Tamandua tetradactyla: one gene and its partner. The protein of the gene in region 2 binds, or shares a complex with, the protein of the main gene of each other region. Links are inferred from orthologs where the notes say so. Each region holds a gene or a part of one and is shown on either strand. Other genes may lie near its edges.

Region 1 (9,966 bases), on a different chromosome or scaffold from region 2:
TGTGTGTGAGATGTTTGGAGTGGGCCAAATGATTCCCAAACCTGGCTGAATAGAACAATCCCTTGGGGTTTCTAAGTTAGTAGTTGGCAGACCTTTTCTGTAATTGTAATATTTTGGCGACTACTCAACTCTGCCATAATAAATACATAAATGAAACTTCATGGCTGTGTTCCAGTAAAACTTATTTAAAAAACAAGTGGAGTACTGGGTTTGACCCACAGGCTGTGGTTTGCTGATCCCTGAATTAAATTAAAAACATACTTCCTTGCTATTACCGCTGGATATTCTGCTTTAGTAAGTTGTAAGTGGGGCCTGGTAATCTATGTCTTAAATTTCTGAAGGGAGGGGATTCTGATGATCAGCTAAATACTGATCATTAGATTTGGTGATTGCTAGTCATGCCTCGATTCATGATTTAAAATTTTTTATTGAAATCTATCATAATAAAAGACAATTGAATTTTTTAGAAAACCAGCTTTTTAAAACTTCTTAAATGAAATGCTTTTGAGGTCAGTTTAGAAAATTATGAATCTCTTGGTGAAAACTAAAGGCGAACACATTTTAGAGGAACACTTTATAAGAAATAGGAACTTAGGAAGGAATGCTTTAATTTTTTTTTTACTCCATGAGAATGTTAAATCCCTCATTGAAGTTATAAGAACCACACACCTCTCCAAGTTCAATTTCGTTTTCAGTTTCTTTTCAACAAGCATTTGCGTGTAGAATGGGGTGTTTCTCGTATGTCCCCAAGAGTGCTATTCCAGCGAGTAGAAAATTGGGAGTTTGTTGTGTTTTTGCCTGGCTGCTGACTTATTCTCTCTTCCGACCTGAGTGCCAGGAACCTGTGTTGTCAGGGTATGGATTCTGGGACTGGGCTGCTAAGCAAGGGTGTAGTGACGATGGCCTGTCTTGGCACTTGTCGTTGTTCTTGAAAAGGGTCCAAGATAGATCTGCCTTTTCCTGAATGATGGGCTCAGAGCAGTTTTCTCAGTCTTGTCAATCTTGATATTTGGGGTCAGGTAATTCTTTTTTGTGGGGAAGGAGGCTAACCTGTGCTTTGCAGGATGTTTGATGTCATCCCTGGCCTCCACATCCCGTACCTCAATTGTGATAACTGAAAGTGTCTTCAGAAATGACTGAATGTCTCAGAGGTGGGGACCCTGGTTGAGTACCTCTGGTTTAAAGCTAAGGACTTTGTGTTCTCTAGTGAACCCTCGGAGGTGAAATCCCAAGAACAAACTACATTTCACCTGCGTAGGAGGTAAGGTCGGTGATTCTGGATCTAATCCAGGCCTTTGGGAGAGGAAGAAGCCATAGTCATCTTATGCTTTTGTTCTCTCATGTCCTCCTAAGCCTCTACTGTGTGTGTCAGTGTTGCTGGACTAACTGTTCTGAAACACAGTCTTCAGACACAGCTTACCTGCTTTGGGACTTCAGACAGCTTCCTGTCCTGAGAGGCCTCCATTATCTGAACTACTTTACCCACCCAAACCCATTTACCATTCTTCCTTGGCACTCATCTTTGGTTGTGGATAATTTTGTTTTTGTATTTCTAGTGTTTTTATTCTGATAGTAAGTACGAAAATAAGAACATAGATATCTTAGGTTGGAAAAAATGAATCAATCTTTAGACTTAATTGAGGAGCTCCGGATTGAGATGTGCTGGGATGTGGATTGGGTCTGTGATCAAAGAAAATGGATTAAATGGAAACAAAATGATATATGGGCTTGAAGTCTGGCAGCAGTTGCTGAGGGCCAGTCTACTCTTATAGTTGTACCTGAATTGTTGGTATACGTCACTGTTACCTGTTCATCATATTTCTTTGGGAGAGTATACAGGTTTAAAGTTGTGACAGTTTGCTGGGTGCAGAGGGAGCAGATATGGCCTTGGCATCCATGGGAGTTTTTTTCTTTATTTGTGGGAGTTGTCTCCATCCTCTGAACTCTTCTACACTGGAGGTTTCTTCTCAGAAGCTGCTTCTTCAGTTGACTTAGGTTGTGCCTGAGCTACATGCCTCTGCTCCAAGAGTAGATGGCCTTTTGTGGGAGCAGTTGGTTGGGTCACCATGATAATGTGGAAGAGCTTACAGACATTCATTGTCTACCTTAAAATACCTTTGTCTGTATAAGTTCATGTCTGTTTCCAAGCCTTTGGGCTCTTCCTTTGTCTAAATCCCGCCATTCTCATTCAGGACCTAAAACTTTTGGCCTGTTGTATGTCGAAATAAATTCATCAGGCTTATTGCCTCGGAAATAAGTTCTATATTCTACTATGAACTGATGAATGACTTTTAATAAGCATACCAGAACTTTCATGTCTAAATAAGTGTTACTGTTCAATTAAATCATTTTAGGATGATTCTAACAATACAGTCGTTGCTCAAGAAGTTTTGAAACATCTCTTACTGTTTTGAAAACCATTTTATAAGTCACACTTGAACCAGAGAAGTTCCATTTGTACAATTAAATAACTCTGTTGAAGATTTCTATGGGCCAAGTAGTGTACCAGGGCTGGGAATCAAAAGAATGATTAATTCTCAGTGTCTGCTCTCATGGAGCCTACATTTTGCTTGAGATAAATGTGTAAGTGGCACAGGGATGAGCCAGGTTACGCTGGCATGTCATGAGAAACAAGAAAGTCTGCAGGAGAGGGAGGGGAAGTAACATATATGGGGAATGAGTATGGAAGGAAGGTTAGGGAAGGCTTAAACCATAACAAGTGAGTAGGATTTCAAGAGGATTCAGGCGGGCCACGGTGACTCAGCAGGTAAGAGTGCTTGCCTGCCATGCCCAAGGACCTGGGTTCAATTCCTGGTACCTGCCCATGTAAAAAAAAAAAAAAAAAAAAGAGGGATTGATGGGAGAGACTAATAATACCCTTCCAGGGAGAGGCAGCAGTATAAGCAACAATATTTTGAAAATCTAGGGGCTTGTTCAGGAAATAACATTTCACTGGCTTAATGTTCCCTGCAGTGACAGTTCTCCTGGACAAGCCCAGCAGAAACACTGGCACTGTGGGCCTTTGCCAGGTGAGTCTAGAGGGTTGATGCTGGCTTAGCTGGAGTCTACCAGAGGAGCTGGGAGCAACTATAACCCAGAGATAGGAATATATTGTGGCTCCAGCAATACTGGTCACAGGGGTCTAGCAGGAAGTTAAAGACTAGGACGAGAGTTGGCAGCAGGATTGCAAGGCAGGTGCTGGGGAATTTTTTTGTTTAAAAGCTGAACGCTGTGAACCAGGTTAGAGTCACAGGACTTGTGCTTACTTAGGCTGACACTGGTACAAGCAGGCACATCATAAACTTCAGAATGAAAGAGAGAGAGAGGAAGTAGCTGGTAGCAGGTCAGACCCCAGAGGGCCTTGAATAACAGACTACAAAGTTTGGACTTACTGATTTATAGGTGCTTTGTGAATAATAGATATTAAACTTGTCTTCTGTAGGTTTGTGAATGTTTCTCCTCAGTCATTTATTTATGGAAAACTTTTCTGAAAAATGAATGTTGTCAAATCCATCAGTCTTTTTCCTTTATGAAGTGTTGAGACATTCAAATTCTTGCAAATGAAGTATTTTTGGAACCCAACAGTCTTGACACTTATTTAGTGATTCAGTAAATCAGCCAGTATTAAAGTATGTAGCTAATGTGTTCTGTTCTTCCCTATTACACTCTAATTCTTCCCTTCCCCACCCCGTAATTCCATTTTGAACTCCAGTATGTCACTGCATTCATTCATGGTTGTGGCTTTTATAGGAAACTGAGTATCATTCGGTTGGAAAGCCAAGCAGCTGACCAGCCTCTTCATAACCCTTTTAAGCTCTTTGAACAGACTAGGTGCTTTTTCTCTATAAAATGACTCTTAGCCCAAGTTACGGTCTTCAAACACGTTCTGCTTCAACTGAGGTGTGTTGAGCACCTGAGGTGTGTTAGTAGACGCTAATCCCTCTTCCCCACTAAGCGGTGTGATCTTGAATTTGCCACTTAACCTTTTTGGTCTCATCTCATTTCAAATACAAGAGCCAGTCGTCTCTTTTTAATGCTTCTCTCATCACGGTTCCTTGGTTCCATGATTCTTCTGAATTTCAGCTTAGGGCTATGTTTGCTACTTTGGTTTTCTTGCCTATCATTTTCCTCTTCTAATCTTCTATCTTTGAGCCTCTTATTTGAAATCCCTTCAAGGCAGGCAGTTATTCCTGTGGATGCTTCTCTTTGTTTCTGCAGGCTTTTAGATATGTCTGCCTCATTTCCTGGACTCTTGTCTTTTGCAGCTGAAATTAGAAACCCTTAGAAGCATAACGGATGCTAGAATCTCATGAAGTAACAGCCCTGAAATATCCCAAGTCTACTGGCAGAGAGTCTGGCTATAATTCCAGTGACAGCTCTTGATTGCTCCCTGTGTAGGTAATCACATTGGTCCCCTATTTCTCATAGACTTGAGGATGGCCTCAGTGCATTCTCATCTCTTTGGCCAGGCCCTTTTGTTTCCTAGCCCCATCCCCCCCCCCCCGCTTTTTTTTTTTCCTTAACCTTTTAGTGTGTTATTTTTTGAAGTTTTGGAAAACTTCTAGTATAAGCCTATATGCAGATCGGAGTTTAAATCTGCAGAAGCTGCAAGCAAATACTGAACAGAAGTCTAGAGGTGCTGAGCTACCTATAAAAGGGTGTGGTGTTAAATCAGGTAGCTTTAGGACTTGTGGCTCATTTGATAAACAAATGGCTGCCCAAAGCCTCCTGCAGGATCAGAGAAGAGAAGCAGCCTGGAACCATGGAGAATAGGCAGGATAGGAGCCAGATTTGGGTTTGTTTGAGGGCTCTCAGTAGCTTTTAATTTTAGGTACATCCCTTAATTTCTGTCCATACCTACTTCATCTATCTGTAAATGGCCACAAAGGGCTGTCCTCAAATAGCATCCTAAGATGGGTAAAATTTGTTAATGCCCTAAGAGACTTCTCAGATAAAGTTGTAAATACCTTGAGAGGAGAGAGCTTATATCACTCTGGGTTGAGGAGGGGAATATATAACATTTGTATTACTAAATACTCATTGATAAATCAAAGTTGTTAACTGGATCACTAGATATTTAGTGCTTCCTGTGCAAACCTTCAGTGCATTGGTGGTTGAGGCCTTTGTTACAGCTTCTTTTGAACAGGTGGCAGGTGGCTGCAGTGGGTCCAGATGCAAGGGTGGGGCTGTCGCCCTTCCCTGTCTTTAGTTGGGGTCCCCAATAACTGCAGGGGTAATTCCCTTTTGCTGGTGGCACAGGAATACACAGGCGCACACCTCCTATCTGATTTGAAAGTCACTTCCTCATAGAAACATTTATACTAATCCTAAGTAGGTAGGCTGTTTGGGTTGCCCTGGGAACCTACCACTTCTAGGATGTTTTTCTATAGAAAAAGTGAATTCTGTGTTCCAGACTTAGAACTTAGAACACATTTTTTTAAAAATATTGGTAAAGGGAACCCTTATTTTAATTTGAGGAGGATGTGGGGCCATATTAGAGGGGACTTGGCGCTACAATGAGGCTTCTTTGGGATGGATCCAGGAGGCAGTTATGTGCTGCTCCGTACTACCCAGCAGGTCAGTTGTGGAAGGCTGCAGTATGAAAGGTACTAGGGTGCCACTGGGCTTTGATTTTTGAAGTAGCAATTTTGAATCCTTAGTTTTAAAAAAAACAAAACCTCAAGAACTATAACAAAAGGAGTCAGAAAGCAGCCTCAGAAAACTCACGTCTGGTGGAATGGTGGTGATTTCACAATTGGGTGTGAATGCCGAGGGTAACAGCATGTGCTTGTTGGTGTTTGAATCTCAGATGGATGTGGGGAAAACTTGATAAGGGATATTAGTTAATACCCTCTAGCTGTCTTTCCTGGCATCCCTGTGGGTGGGTGACCTTCCCACTATCATGGTCAGACCCCAGAGTCTGTCCTCAGCTTGTGCCCCTGCTAGTTTCCCTCCGAGGGCAGACTTGGATTAGTTTTATGCATCTCCCTCCATGAAGAATGGTTCCTATGACTGGGGCCTAAGATACACATAAAATTTTTTTTAAAGGATATTAAAAAAGAAACTCATGACTTCCAGAAGATTACTTTGCCAGAGGAACTGGCCACGAATAATGGACGTATTAGGGAGACTTTCCCCTCAAATGTTACTACCAGGACAGGGAGCAATGGAAATCAGTTAAGAAGAATCTGTTGGACACTGATGTATGCCTCCTACTGCGTGGAGGATTTTGGAAGAATGAATGAGGAATATACAAGCCCTGTTCAAAAAGAAGTTTATAATATAAATGGGTAGATAAGATAGAATAAGCAAAACAGGGTGAACAAGACAATATGAAAAGTATTTCTGTACTACAAATCATTTTAGAAGGGGAAATATAAATTATACATTTATGAATGCAGAAGTTTTAATGGCAGTGTGCTCTCAAATCTATAATTCAGACAGCTAAAGAAAATTATTTATATCTGAAGTACAGTTCAAGCTAGTCCTTGAAAGACGGTGAGATTGAGTTGTGCAGAAAGGATATGTCAAAATGTAGATTTTTAAAAAATTTATTGCTCTAGCAGTTTTATTCTTAATGAGCTAACCTGGGATTAAACAGAACACAATTCTTGTCCTAACGATTTTTGAAGTTATCTGAAAAATATTTTGTCTCTGTGATTTCACCAGGGTTGCCACTTGTACATGAGCTGTGTCTGTAGTGGTGATAAATGGATTTATTTTTCTGAGGTGTATGGTAACTATTCCCACAGATACCTGCCAGGCAAAGCGTCCTGGGGCTCACTCCTGAACTCTCACCTTTATCTTGTTCGGAAACTTTCAGTAGCTCCCTATCATAAAGTCCTCTCTCCTTACCCTGGTGTTGGGGTCTTACGTGATCTGTCTGTATTCCTGACTTTCTATGTTTTTATTCCATCTTCTTTATAGCAGGCTCTCCTCACCGCAGTTCCTGCTGCTGTATATTACGCAGGGCTCCTTTTCCTAGTGTCTGCATGTTCACACTTTGCGTATTCTTCAAAGCTCTACTCAGATATCACTGCTTCCATGAAGCCTTCTTTAATCTGTCTAGCTAAGGGAGTCCTGTTGCTGCCGAGTATCTCTGGCACCAGCCTCCACTGCTTTTGTGGCCCTTGCCTGGTAGCTTTCTTCTTATGTTGTTAGTTTATGTACAAGTTTTTCTTGTCCCCAATGGAGAGAAGGCAAAATTCCCAAGCCTTTCTGGTCTTGGTTTGCCTGCACCTAGTATTACTGTACTTTCCGCACAGGAGGCTTTACCTCTGGAGAAAGGTGTCTGATAAGTCACAGCTGGCAGCCTCCAAGTATTACCTTGTGCTTCATTACTTGGTCCTTCAGCCCTGCCTTATAAACACCTGGGCCTCTCTTGTTACCTCTTACATGATCGCTTGGTGGATTTTGCATGTTTGCATAGATGACTGACACATGCAAACAAGTACGGTATTCTTTAAACATTCTGCTTTATAACAAAATTTCTGATTTGTTTTTTGGCCAGGGTAGAGTCTTCTAGAGCGGGTAGGGCAGCAAACAGCAATTATTAAAAACACACTGCAAACATCAAATTCCTACCTGGTTGTAGTTTAAGCATGTTCTCATATTCTTGCTGGGAGTAAGTTGAAATACTGGGATGGCACAGAAGTGCCAGCTGTGCCTTTGTTGTGGTTTCTTTTCATGATTCCCTACTACTACCCGAGTCTGATTTGGGGAAACCAGTAGAGTGACCTCCTAATTTGGTTATCTGTGGCTGCATGCAAACCACCCTAACATTTAGTGACATAAAACAACAATTTGTTTTCATTTTTCATAGTTTTGTGGGTTAACTGGTCATAGGTGTTCTATTAGTTAGCTCCACTACTCTTCTGGCTTCACCCTCCACCTTAAGCAAAGAGTTCAAGATTAATTTCTTAAGCCTTACCTCCTTCTGTGAGTCTAGACTCAAACATCCAGCTGACTGTTGGCAGAGTCAGTGGTATGTCCCCAAACTTGGCATTTCCATAAGGGAATTCTTTTGGTATGAATGCAAGCATTATCTAATTTCTCTGACACCAGTGCTGGAGCAGTACATGGTGCAATAGTAAATTCTGAGTAATAGTTAATGAATTAATGAGTGAATGAACTCTTGTCAGGGTGTACCAATAGGGGGTGGATAAATTCCAGCACAAACACACACACACACACACACAAATGCACACATATACAAAAGAATACTAAAATGAGTGAACCAACTCTACATGTATCAACAAGATAAATGTCAGTGGTGCATGAAATATAATCAAGTTACAGAATATGCATGGTATGCTACCATTATCTAAAGTATACAACCAAATAATATTAGATGTATGGATGTATTTTTATGTGGTCAAAGTAAACATATGCATATGTGAGGGAATCGCTCCACTATCAAGTTAATGGATATCCATTGTCAAGTTAATGGCTGTCTTTTGGGATAGAGGAAGGGGTGACCTATGTAATGATGAAATAGCCTTCTCTGAAGAGAAGACTGGCCTTTTCCTTCAGCTACTGCAGGGTGATCTCTATGCCTGGTAGGTGTCTTTGTCTGGAAGCTTTTGCCACAGGGCAGCCTAACAATGTGATTTGTCATAGGACCTTTGGACCACACGATATCAATTCTGCCTCCTGCAGGGACTTGAGACTAAAGGTGTCAGCCTGACCTCTTAGAGTTGCTGGAGCCTAAAGATTAATCGATTGGGCAGTATTTGGTCCAAAGCTCTGGGCACCAAAGGCTCTGGTGAGCTTCCCTGGATGGCAATACTCTGTGAATATTGTCCTACGTAATGGCAGGTAGGAGTTAATGCTGTCCTTGACTTCATGGGAAGAGGACAACCCAGAGCTTTGCTAGTGAATTATTGGTGTTATTTACTTTTCAATCCAGATTTTCCATTTTGTTCTTCTTTGTAATTTCTATTTCTTCATTTATATTCTGTATTTTATGTGATGTTGTCAAACCATCTTTTGCTTTGCTTTCTTTACTTCTGTGAGCATTTTTACATCTGAAAGATTTTTTCTTTTCATTCTGACATCTGGTCATACTCACGGACAATTATACGTGCCTATATAGGTCATACTTTCCTGTTTGTTTGGTTTTTAACATGCCTTATAATTTTTTGCTTGAAGCTTGACATTTTGGATAATATACTGTAGCAACTATGGTTACTGATGCCCCTCTCCCTTCGGAGTTTATTGTAATTTGTTTAATTTCATGACTGGTTGTATTATTTTAGTGAGTCTATCATACCTCCCTCCAGAAGGGTTAAGCCCCTGCCACTCTGAGAAGGCTGCAAGTAATTTCTTCCTCTCTTTCCTTTATGACACCCAACTGTTAAACTGCTCATTGGAGACCACATTGCTCTATTGTTTTCAATGGTGTCTTGTGGCATAAATTCCTCTATTAATGCAATCAAAGTGTTTTTCTTTGAAGGGAGTAGTTTTTGAGGTCTGCGTTTGGTATCTGTTCTGACCCTAGGAAGACTTCTCCAAGTTTACCCTGATTCTCTCCTCCCTATGGCCAGCCTGTAGTCTATATCTTCATTAGATCCATACTGCTCCTCCAAATTGCTTTTCATCACTGCTCTCAACTGTTCTTGAGAGAGTCCTTAGGTTTAAACTATTCCATACTCTGTTGCAATGATGTCAGTTCATATGGAAGAGACTTGGAGCCATTTGTTGAGCCAGAGCTCTGGAGTTGGGTGGAAGTGTGGACCCTGCTAAGCCTTTTCTGAGTGGCACTCCTGCTCTAGTTGCTGAGTATTTAGTGGTGGGGGCAGCAGCCTGAGGTCCTCTGGCTTGCGTCTCTTAGTGTGGAACCCTTGCTTCATGAGCCAGGGGAATGGTTATCAGGGCCTGAGTATTGTCAACAATCCATGCTCAAGGCAGACCCTCCATTCCCCCGCTGTGGCTGAGTGTTTAAGGGAGCTCCCACCTTTTGATTGC
Region 2 (9,966 bases):
TAGTCTCCCAATCCATGAACACAGAATGTCCCTCCATTTACTTAGATCTTTTCTTTCTTTTAGTGATGTGTTGTACTTTTTCTGTGTGCAAGCCCTTTACCTTCTTGGTTAAATTTATTTCTAGATATTTTATTCTTTTAATTCCTTTGTAAATGGATTTTTTCCTTGATTTCCTCCTCAGATTGCTCATTACTAGTATATAGCAACCCTACTTATTTTTGCACGTTAACCTTGTATCCCCCCACTTTGCTGAACTTGTTTATTAACGCTAGTAGCATTGTTGTAGATTTTTCAGAACTTTCTCTATATAGGATCATGTCACCTGCAACAGTGAATGTTTTACTCTGTGAAGTAACTGTGAAGACATTATGTTGAATGGAAGAAATAAAAAAGAATGTTTTACTCTTTTTCTTGCCTAATTGCTCTAGCTATAACTTCTAGTACAGTGTTGAAAAAACAGTGGTGACAGTGGGCATCGTTGTCTTGTTCCTGATCTTAGAGGAAATGTTTTTAGTTTTTTTTACCAGTGGGTATGATGTTAGCTGTGGGTTTTTCATATATGTCCTTTATAATGGTGAGGAAGTTTCCTTCTCATCCTATCTTTTGAAGTGTTTTATCAAGGAAGGATACTGGATTTTGTCAAATGCTCTTTTTGCATTAATTGTGATGGTCCTGTGGGTTTCCTCCTTCAATTTGCTAATTGATTTTTTTGTGATGCACCAGCCTAGCTTATCTTGGCTAAAACCTACTTGATCATGATGTATAATTATCTTAATGTGTTGTTGGATTTGATTTCCAGGTATTTTCTTGAGGATTTTTGCATCCATATTCATTACCGAAACTGGAATATAATTTTCTTTCCTTGTAGGATTTTATCTGGCTTTAGTATTAGGGTGAAGTTGGCTTCATAGAATGAGTTAGAGAGTGTGCTCTCCTCTTCAATTTTTTTTTTTTTTTTGCGAGTCTGAGCATGGTTAGTATTAATTCTTCTTTGAATGATTGGTAGAATTCACCTGTAAACCGATCTGATTCTGGGCTTTTCTTTGTTGAGAGTTTTTTGATGACTGACTCAATCTCTTGTTGAGGTCTTCTATTTTTTCTAGTGTCAGTGTAGTCATTCATGTGTTTTTAGGAATTTGTCCATTTCATCTAGGTTGTCTAATTTGTTAGCATACAGTTGTTCACAGTATCCTCTTGTGATCCTTTTTATTACTGTGGGGTCAGTAGTAATGTCCCCATCTCATTTCTGATTTTATTTGCATCTTCTCTTTTTCTTGTCAGTCTAGCTAACGGTTTTTAAATTTTATTGATCTTCACAAAGAACCGAGTTTTGGTTTTGTTAATTCTATTTTTTTTTCAATTTTATTGATTTCTGCTCTAATCTTTGTTATTTCTTTCCTTCTGCTTGCTTTGGGATTAGTTTTCTGTTCTTTTTCTAGTTCCTCCAGCTAAGCAGTTAGGTCTTTGATTTTTTTTTTTTTGCTTTTTTAATTTTTTTAAATACCAAAAAACACCAAACAAATGGAAACGTTTGTAACTCCTGATCATTCTGTTCTACATATACAATTAGCAATTCACAATATCATCACATAGCTGCACATTCATCATCATGATTATCTCTTGGAACATTTGCATCTATTCAGAAAAAGAAATAAAAAGAAAACAGAAAGAAATTAATACATACTATGCCCCCACCCCTCCCCTTCATCAATCACCAGCATTTCACTATAAATTTATTTTAACATTTGCTCCCCCTATTATTCATCTTTATTCCATATGTTTTACTTGTCTGTTGATGAGATAGATAAAAGGAGCATCAGACACAAGGTTTTCACAATCACACAGTCACATTGTGAAAGCTATATCATTATACAATCATCTTCAAGAAACATGGCTACTGGAACACAGCTCTACATTTTCAGGCAGTTCCCTCCAGCCTCTCCATTACATCTTGACTAACAAGGTGATATCTACTTAATGCATAAGAATAACCTCCAGGATAACTTCTCGACTCTGTTTGGAATCTCTCAGCCATTGACACTTTGTCTCATTTCACTCCTCCCCCTTTTGGTGGAGAAGGTTTTCTCAATCCCCTGATGCTGTAGGTCTTTGATTTTATCAGTTTCTTCTTTTTAAATATAGGATCTAAATTTTGCTCTGAGCACTGTGTTTGCTGCATCCTATAAACTTTGATATGTTGTGTTCTGGTTTTCATACATTGCGAGATATTTACTGATTTCTCCTGAAATTTCTTCTTTGACCCTCTGATCATTTAGGAGAGCATTGTTTAACCTCCATTATTTGTGAATTTCCAGCTCTCCACCTGTTAGGGATTTCCAGCTTTTCTTTTTATTTTGGCTAGAGAAAGTGTTTTGTATAACTTCAATCTTTTAAAATTTGTTGAGACTTGTTTTTGAACCAACATGGGATCTATACTGGAGAATGATCCATGATCACTTGAGAAGAATGTATATCCTGCTGTTTTGGGGATGTAATGTTCTGTAAATGTCTGTTAGGTCTAGTTCATTCATCATATTATTCAAGTTCTCTGTTTCCTTATTGATCCTCTCTCTAGATGTATTGAAGTCTCCAACTATTATTGTCAGGACATCTATTTCTGCCTTCACATTTGCCGGTGTTTGCCTCATATATTTTGGGGCACCCTAGTTAGGAGCATAAATATTTATGATTGTTATTTCTTCTTGGCGGATTGCTCCCTTTATTAATAAAGTGTCCTTCTTTGTCTCTTATAACAGTATTACATTTAAAATCTATCTGAACAGTATTAGTATGGCTACTCCAGCTCTTTTTTGGTTATTCTTTGCACGGAGTATCTTTTTCCAACCTTTCACTTTAAACTTATCTGTATCCTTAGATTGAAGGTGAGTCCCTTGCAGACAGTATATAGATGAATTACATTTTTAAAATCCTTCTGCCAATCTGTGTCATTTGATTGGGGAGTTTAATCATTAATATTCAATGTTATTACTGTAGTGGCAGTACTTTAACCATTTTATGCTTTGGTTTGTGGATATTGAACACAACCATTAATTACATTTGCAGCCTTAATTCCTATTTGCCATGCAACCAAACATATTCACACTTTCCAGAGATTAGGATGGGGACACGTTTGGAGGGCCATTACTCTGTCTACTACACACTCCTGCCCAAAAGTCTAGATTGAGGGTTTGCATATAGTCAGTAGGGGGTGACAATAAATGTGAAATGCTCTTTGGAATTAAAAAACTCCGGTCAATATATGGCCGCCCTGTGTGATCTTTGGTTAATTACTTGAGTCTTAGTATCCACATTTCCACTAAAATGGAAATTGCTGTGTTTGCTCTGCTTGTTAAATGAAATAATTATGTAAAAGGACCTAGTTTAGACTGACAAATAGTAAGGGCTCAGAAGTTCTTGATGAATCTTCATAAGGAGGGTGGGCGAAATTCTCTGAAAGACATCTGGAGACAGTTTGAGAGATTTCTGGAGAGCAGTGAGTGAGAAGCACCCACCCTTGAGGAGATCAAAAGGAATCAAGTTCCACGGAAGAAGCTCTTGAATTGTTTTGAGGCTGAGATGCCCAGATTAAAAAGGGCAAAGCTAAAATGTTCCTTAGAAGACACCCACATGCAAAGTGGTTGTTTAGTAGTACGAACTGAAGGGGGGATCTGTGGGGTCTTTGGAGGAAAAGATTACATTTTGTGAAATCCCATGCCACTTAGTTCAATGCCACGCATACCGTAGTTTGTACCATTACCAAGTGAATTAGATTTAAAAGGTAACTGGGGGGAAAAAAAAAAAGCAGACGCCACAGGTTCCACCGAGATTTGAACTCGGATCGCTGGATTCAGAGTCCAGAGTGCTAACCATTACACCATGGAACCGCCAGACGCCTTGTTGCGCTTTCAGATTTCTGAAGGTTAGTAAACCCCGCCCCACCACTACGTTGAAGCTTGTCTGATGCGTTCTCAGAGCTTGGAGTCCTGCTTGGCAGCGCGAGTTGGGGCAAGAATAAACGAGAAGTTACTAAGAGCATGGTCAGTTGGGAATCTAGGACTCATCTTCCCATATCAGCCTCCTTGAGGACGCTGTGACTTCAACGAACAACCCGATGCAAATGCTTGCAGCCCTGCGGGACTCGGAGGTGGGGCGCCAACTCCCCGGAAGTACTTCCCCTGAGGGGCTGGGGCTGCCGGAAGTGGCGCACGGCAGGGAGGGGCACTTCACCGGGTCCGGCGTCTGAAGCTCGGAGCTCGGGTTACCCCTGCAGCGACGCCCCCTGGTCCTACCGATACCGCTCCTGCTCCCGCCCCTTCAGACTCGGCCGCGCAATGGGCACCCGCGACGACGAGTACGACTACCTCTTCAAAGGTGAGCCTCTGGGCTTTGGCACCCTACAGTGTGTCCCCGTTTGGGGGCCCGGGACACTCCCCGGGGATCCGCGCGCGGGCCATCCCGGCACCGAAATGGGGCCTGCCTCAGCCCTTCCCTTCTGAGCAGTGCTTCCTGCCATCTTCCAGCTCAGTCTCTTCTCTCCTCAGACTGGGGGTCGCCACCACACCCCATTTCATAGCGACCTTCTCGTAGGCCCTCGCTAGCCTCAGAGCCCCTCATTGTGTGTCCTTCTCACGGCGGACTGCATTCTCCCAATTCGTCGTCTTCATTCCTTTTCCCGGGTTTATAGCTCCTTCCAAGGCCCCGCCGCCCCCCTCTCCATCTATCTTTTCTGACTTAGCGCCCCCCTCGCCCTCTTCACATCCTCTCTAATGAGTCCCTCTGACAGGCCCTCCCTCTTCCCTTTTCGCCTTTCCTTAGGCCCAGAGACTCCTACTACGGGTCGTTCTCTCATCTGGTACCCTTTTCTCCCGAGAGAGCCTCTCCTCTCTGTTTCCTCGCAGCCCCTCCTCTGGAACGGACTCCCCTCCTAGCCGACTGCTCCAGGCTCGGGGTCCAGGTCCTGATAACATCTGAGTGAGCCAGTGGCCCCCACCCCCACTTGTTCCGCTGTTCTCGCGGTCAGTAACCTTCCCCGATCGCCCCCGAGGGTTGGCAGCTCTTTTTCTACCTTCCCTCGCAAATGTTGATAGGTCCCGCGGCTCCAGTGCGACCCCGGGGTGGGGGTTGGGGAGACAAGAAAGAATGTCCATCACCCACGCGCGAACTTGTCGCAGTGACCCGGCAGGCTGATGTGACTTCCCACCTTGCCGGTTTTTTTTTTTTTTTTTCTTGCCGTCCCTTCCCAGCGGCATCTAGCCTGGGATAACTCTTAACTCTGCTAGTGAGAAGGGGTTGCGGATGGGTGGTGGCTGTTATCCTTGCCAGACCTGAAGGCCCAGTTCCTGAGCAGGAAAGGTTGTGCGCTGCACAAACACTGGCTTGCTTTATCGCAGTGGTCTGGTTGCTTCCTGCTGCAACACTGGGAGGATCCAGTCTTCTGGTGTTTTAGAACAGGAAGGGAAGAGTCGGAGTTGGCCCCATACCTTTCCCAAAAGGTGGTGGTGGGGGGGAATGGGTGTGTGCTCTTTTGCACATATTAACTATTATAAAACAGGGACATATGTCAGTGCCTTTGGACAAAATATATTGGAGAGTGGGGGTTCAATAGAATTGTTTATTGGTTAGTCCAGAAAGAATCCCAACAGTTTTTTTTTTTTCCTTAATCAACAGAGATAAAGGGTAGAGTTTGCAGTTAGAAGAGGGTATAGTAATTGCCTCCCCCTGTGTTTTTCTTTTGGTTGTTGTTCAATGAATCTCTCTCTGCTGCTGCTCTTTTTCTGCTCCTGAACTAGGAGGGCAGCCATCAGTAATGTGCTGAACAAAGATCATTACCAGGGAGGAAGAAGCCAGAGCTATTAAAGCTTTACAGTGGAGGGTGGAGTTAAAAAAGAGTGTTAGGCTTTATGACTGTTTGTGACTTTGCCATTGGGCGCTAAGAATGATTGACTAAACAAAGCAGGAAAGGTTTCTTTACCAGTACTTTGCAAATCTTACTATTACTAGCTGCTGATATACCCTTGTCATCACTTGCTCCTCTGAGCTGGTGTATTTATATAGGGCGCACACCTTCAAAATCTACCCCCATTCCCATACTGGCAAGGCATTTACAGAGAAGAGGATACTTAATGCCTTTTAGAAATATAAAAAGAAAACCTGTATTAGTTTATATACTGTTTGTTGAAGGCATCTGAGATTATGTGAAATTACTTAAGACAGTCCCTGGAAACTTTTAGGTTTCGTCACTAAAAGGAGGTTTGCTTTTCAAATAAAGTATAATGGCAGTGGGCAGCTTAATTAATTAAATTAATTAAATTTATAATTAATGAGAGAAACTGACCGGGTACTTCTCCTGTTTGGTTTGGAGTTTGAACATTTGTTATTAAAGTCTTTTTATATTTTCATTAAGAATATTATCCTGAATTGTCTTAAGGGCTTTAAACTTTTGATATAAATTTAAACATATATATATATAACTTTTGATATACCTTTGGAATTAGACCACCTATCTTGAGAGCATAGGGGTTTAGAATCAGGCAGACTTGGATTTAAATGCTGACTCAGGTCTTTTATTTGCTCTGTGACCTTGGGAAAGTTAACGTTTTTTTGAGCCTCAATTCCCTCATCTATAAAAAGGAAACAATACTTACGTCTTGGGTCTACTGTAAGGATTAAATGAGGCTCTTGTTAAAATTTTAGCTTCTATGAAGACTCAATAAGTGATAATCATGTGAAAGAAGTTACTGTAGTTCTTGTCAGTTTTTTAACGTTAAATTGTTATAGATACAAGAGCATTTAAATATTAATAAAGAAACTTAAAATTAGGAACTTCTTAAGTATTTTACTTTTCCACGGGTTCAGGTTTCATTTTGTTATATATTTTTAGGGAGTTAAAAAAATTCTACTGAGATGGATTTCCACTTTTTAAAGGCTCTTATGGGATATGAATCATCTTATTTACTTCATTGCTGATTATTTAGCCGTATTCTTATTTACGCAGTTACCCTATTTTAAAGTAAAACAAGAATAATTTCATTTTAGAATGTTTTCATTCTACAGAGATTCATTCATTCAGAAGAGCTGCGGCTATCTCTACTTGGAAGAAAACTTATTTAGTAAACTTGAAATAGTGAGGGAATTGGAAGATAGTTTGTAACTCTAACCAGTTGAAAATCAGGAGATTTTAATTAAGATAGGATGGAGTGGTCCAAATGGGAATGTTACGTGGGGAGAGCAGAACAATTTTTCTAAATTATGTATCTGTTCTTGAACATTGATTTTTAATTAAGCTCAACAGTGAGGTGTTTTGTGAGGGGGAAATTAGTTTTATTTTTAAAAACTTGTCTTTTTCTTTTACAAATTTTAATTCTACAGGTGTTTACATGCAAATGTGGTTAAGGCCTGGTGGGGGCACATAAGTGAAGTAAGCATCAATCATAGTTCCTGTTTATAAATGTCACAGTGGATATACACCAATCCAACCGAAGTCACATATCTGAAAATATGTGCATATATAGTCTGTTGTTTCCAGCGTTTTCAGTTGTAATTAACCATTTGCTGATTGTAGAAAGGATCATTGGAACTTTGCTGTCTTGCATCTTGGTAGTTTTTCTTTCACAACTTTTGGTTGGGCAACTTAGAGTCTGCTGAATCTGGAAAAACTTGTCTAAACTTCAGCCTTATTGAATGCATTTTATTTTAAAAGTCTTTTGGTAAGGTTGGACTGTGAAGACGGTTGAAAGTGTAGAAACATCTCCAAGTTCATTTATGAAAACTATTTTAAAAATTGTTAGCCATTCCTTCAGGTGGTAGGTAACTTTTAGAACTGATATACTGCAACTGATGTACTGAATGAAATTTGAATCCAGTAGATTAATAAGGCAGTATAAAACTAAATGTGGTTGAGAAGGGGAAATCGTTGTTAAATAATGGATAATTATTATATTTTGTGCTTTTATGGCTTTTAGCCACCTGATGTTTGATATATATTATGGACAAAAGTTAGTATTAGGTATTAGGGATGATATTTAAAATTTGTCAGATAAGTTAACCAGGTAGTGATATATCCTATTGGATTATTTTAGAGATGCTATGAATGTTTAACATATAGATGCTATTTTTAAATTTGTTTATATCATTTAGTATATTAATATTTTATAAATGCTTATAGTTATAAAATGTCTAAAGTGGAAGTACTTTTAACCTAAGATATTAATTATGGAAAACATAGGAAAGTCACTGCAAATTCCCTTTTGAACTACAGGATTTGATCTTCTATTTCTTACATTTTTAAGAAGCAATTAAATATTGCCATCTCAATGACAGAATCTATTCTGACTAGGCATTATTTAAATTTGAGTCCATGAAAGGAGGGTTCATGGAGGTTTTTATTTAAATTATAGCCAGTAAATTATTTTATGTTGTTTAAGTAATATAATTCATTCTAGTTTTTTAAAAATTACTTTTATTTCAGTAAGCCTAAATGTAACCTTCCTTTTTGATTTCTCATTTGGTAACTGAATAGAAACAGCTTTCTATTTTGTATCATTTCTCAGCATCTTGTTGGCAGCACTCTTCTTATAGAACCAGTATCTTCTGTTATCATTTAAGATATAATCCTTTAACAAAATGCTACTCTTAATTCTGGTAATCTTGTCTGTATAGTTGAGATAAGTATACTGTATAAAGCATTCACTGCTGTTTTAATTTCATGGGCTATAGTAGCCTAAATTATGAGTCTTGAATTATGTTCAAATAAGGGTACTGTTTGTATATTAGAATCAATTGGTTACATGGGGGTGGATTCCATCATAATTATCTTTATGATGGCAAAAAGATTTGAGGATAAGAAGATAATGAGCATAATCATTAGTTAAAGTGGAGGTCAAAAGGAAAGAACTTGAAACTGCTAGAGTTTTCATGGAACAGTTAAGGATGTTCTTTGAGATTCCCCCCCCCCCCCCCCCCGCCCAAAGATGTTATTTTGAACATCTTGCTCATGCACTTTGGCTTTAAACTAAGTGAAATTCCTGAATTACGGATTTATATCAGAGTTCCTATGAATTAGAAATATTGTAACTTTTTGGCTTTTCTCTTCTTCCCTCTTCTCACCTTAAGTTGATTTTTTTACTCATTCTTAATGTGAGCGTGGAGCCAGAAGTGATTCAAAATTCATCTAAGTAGAACTTCAAGCTTTTTGTACTAAGAAGCAGCAGGAAGTATATCCTACTAATGGGAAACTCTTACTGAAACTGGGATTTGACTCATGTCAAATGATGACCTTGGAAACTAATATATCAGCCAACAATCCTATAAAATTGAAAGTAAATTGTTTTTGTATGTTACTTTGATGACTGACATTTTCTCTGATATTCAAGTAAAAGCATTTGATAAATGTTTGTTTGACACAACACCTTTGACACCCTCTAATTGAGTATGTAGTTAGAAATAACTACCCTGTATTGAATGGAGTCACTTCTGCCTGGATGATTTCTTGCTGAATCAGCTGCAGAGTAAGCCAGAAAGATATGTGTTTGATAATGTTCTGCCTCCAAGACTGTCCAGAGGCCAGTTTATATCCGATCCTGTGGTGGACTACAAAATGGACTCTTTTTGCCCACTGACCAGAAAGCAGTGAGCTCTCACAGTTTCTACCTTCCTCTCTGACCTCATCTCCAAATCCCAGTCACTTTAGTAAGGCATTCTTTTATTCCTTAGGTTTTTCTTGCATGTTTGATTTTCAAGTCCTGGAGTCTAAGTCAGTTAGCTAGTTTAGATAGTAAGAGAAAGCATTAGTAATCAACAGCCAGAATAAGTATAATGACTTTCTTGAAATGCTGATATAAATTTTACAGACAGTAGAAAATGTTATATAGCTCAGATTCTATAAACCTGTAAACTCATTTTGTTTTAAAATTCAGATAGAAAATGCTTTAAAGTGGTTTGTCTTAATTGCCTATATCCCAATTGTTT

Evidence for each region. Proteins that work in one complex are often made in the same cells at the same time.
Region 1: the proteins of RAB11A (region 2) and MYO5B are in contact, whole or in part, in a crystal structure (PDB 4LX0), measured with the Homo sapiens proteins. The link is inferred for Tamandua tetradactyla from reciprocal best matches to the Homo sapiens genes RAB11A and MYO5B. Residues at the interface, in NP_004654.1 of Homo sapiens: Leu11, Lys13, Arg33, Glu35, Ile44, Gly45, Val46, Glu47, Phe48, Ala49, Thr50, Gln63, Trp65, Glu71, Arg72, Tyr73, Arg74, Ala75, Ile76, Thr77, Ala79, Tyr80, Arg82, Gly83; in NP_001073936.1 of Homo sapiens: Ile1627, Gln1628, Gly1629, Leu1630, Trp1706, Met1710, Arg1713, Tyr1714, Ser1717, Gln1718, Glu1721, Arg1724, Gln1745, Leu1747, Gln1748, Leu1749, Lys1750, Lys1751, Glu1755, Ala1759, Leu1763, Tyr1779, Glu1786.

Annotation. Positions count from the first base shown.
Region 1 is NC_135344.1:32,698,427-32,708,392, forward strand, and holds the start of MYO5B (unconventional myosin-Vb), read left to right. Parts: upstream 1-5,430; 5' UTR 5,431-5,532; coding exon 5,533-5,577; intron 5,578-9,966. UniProt on the Homo sapiens protein: May be involved in vesicular trafficking via its association with the CART complex. The CART complex is necessary for efficient transferrin receptor recycling but not for EGFR degradation.
Region 2 is NC_135340.1:82,869,794-82,879,759, forward strand, and holds the start of RAB11A (ras-related protein Rab-11A), read left to right. Parts: upstream 1-4,188; 5' UTR 4,189-4,331; coding exon 4,332-4,371; intron 4,372-9,966. UniProt on the Homo sapiens protein: The small GTPases Rab are key regulators of intracellular membrane trafficking, from the formation of transport vesicles to their fusion with membranes.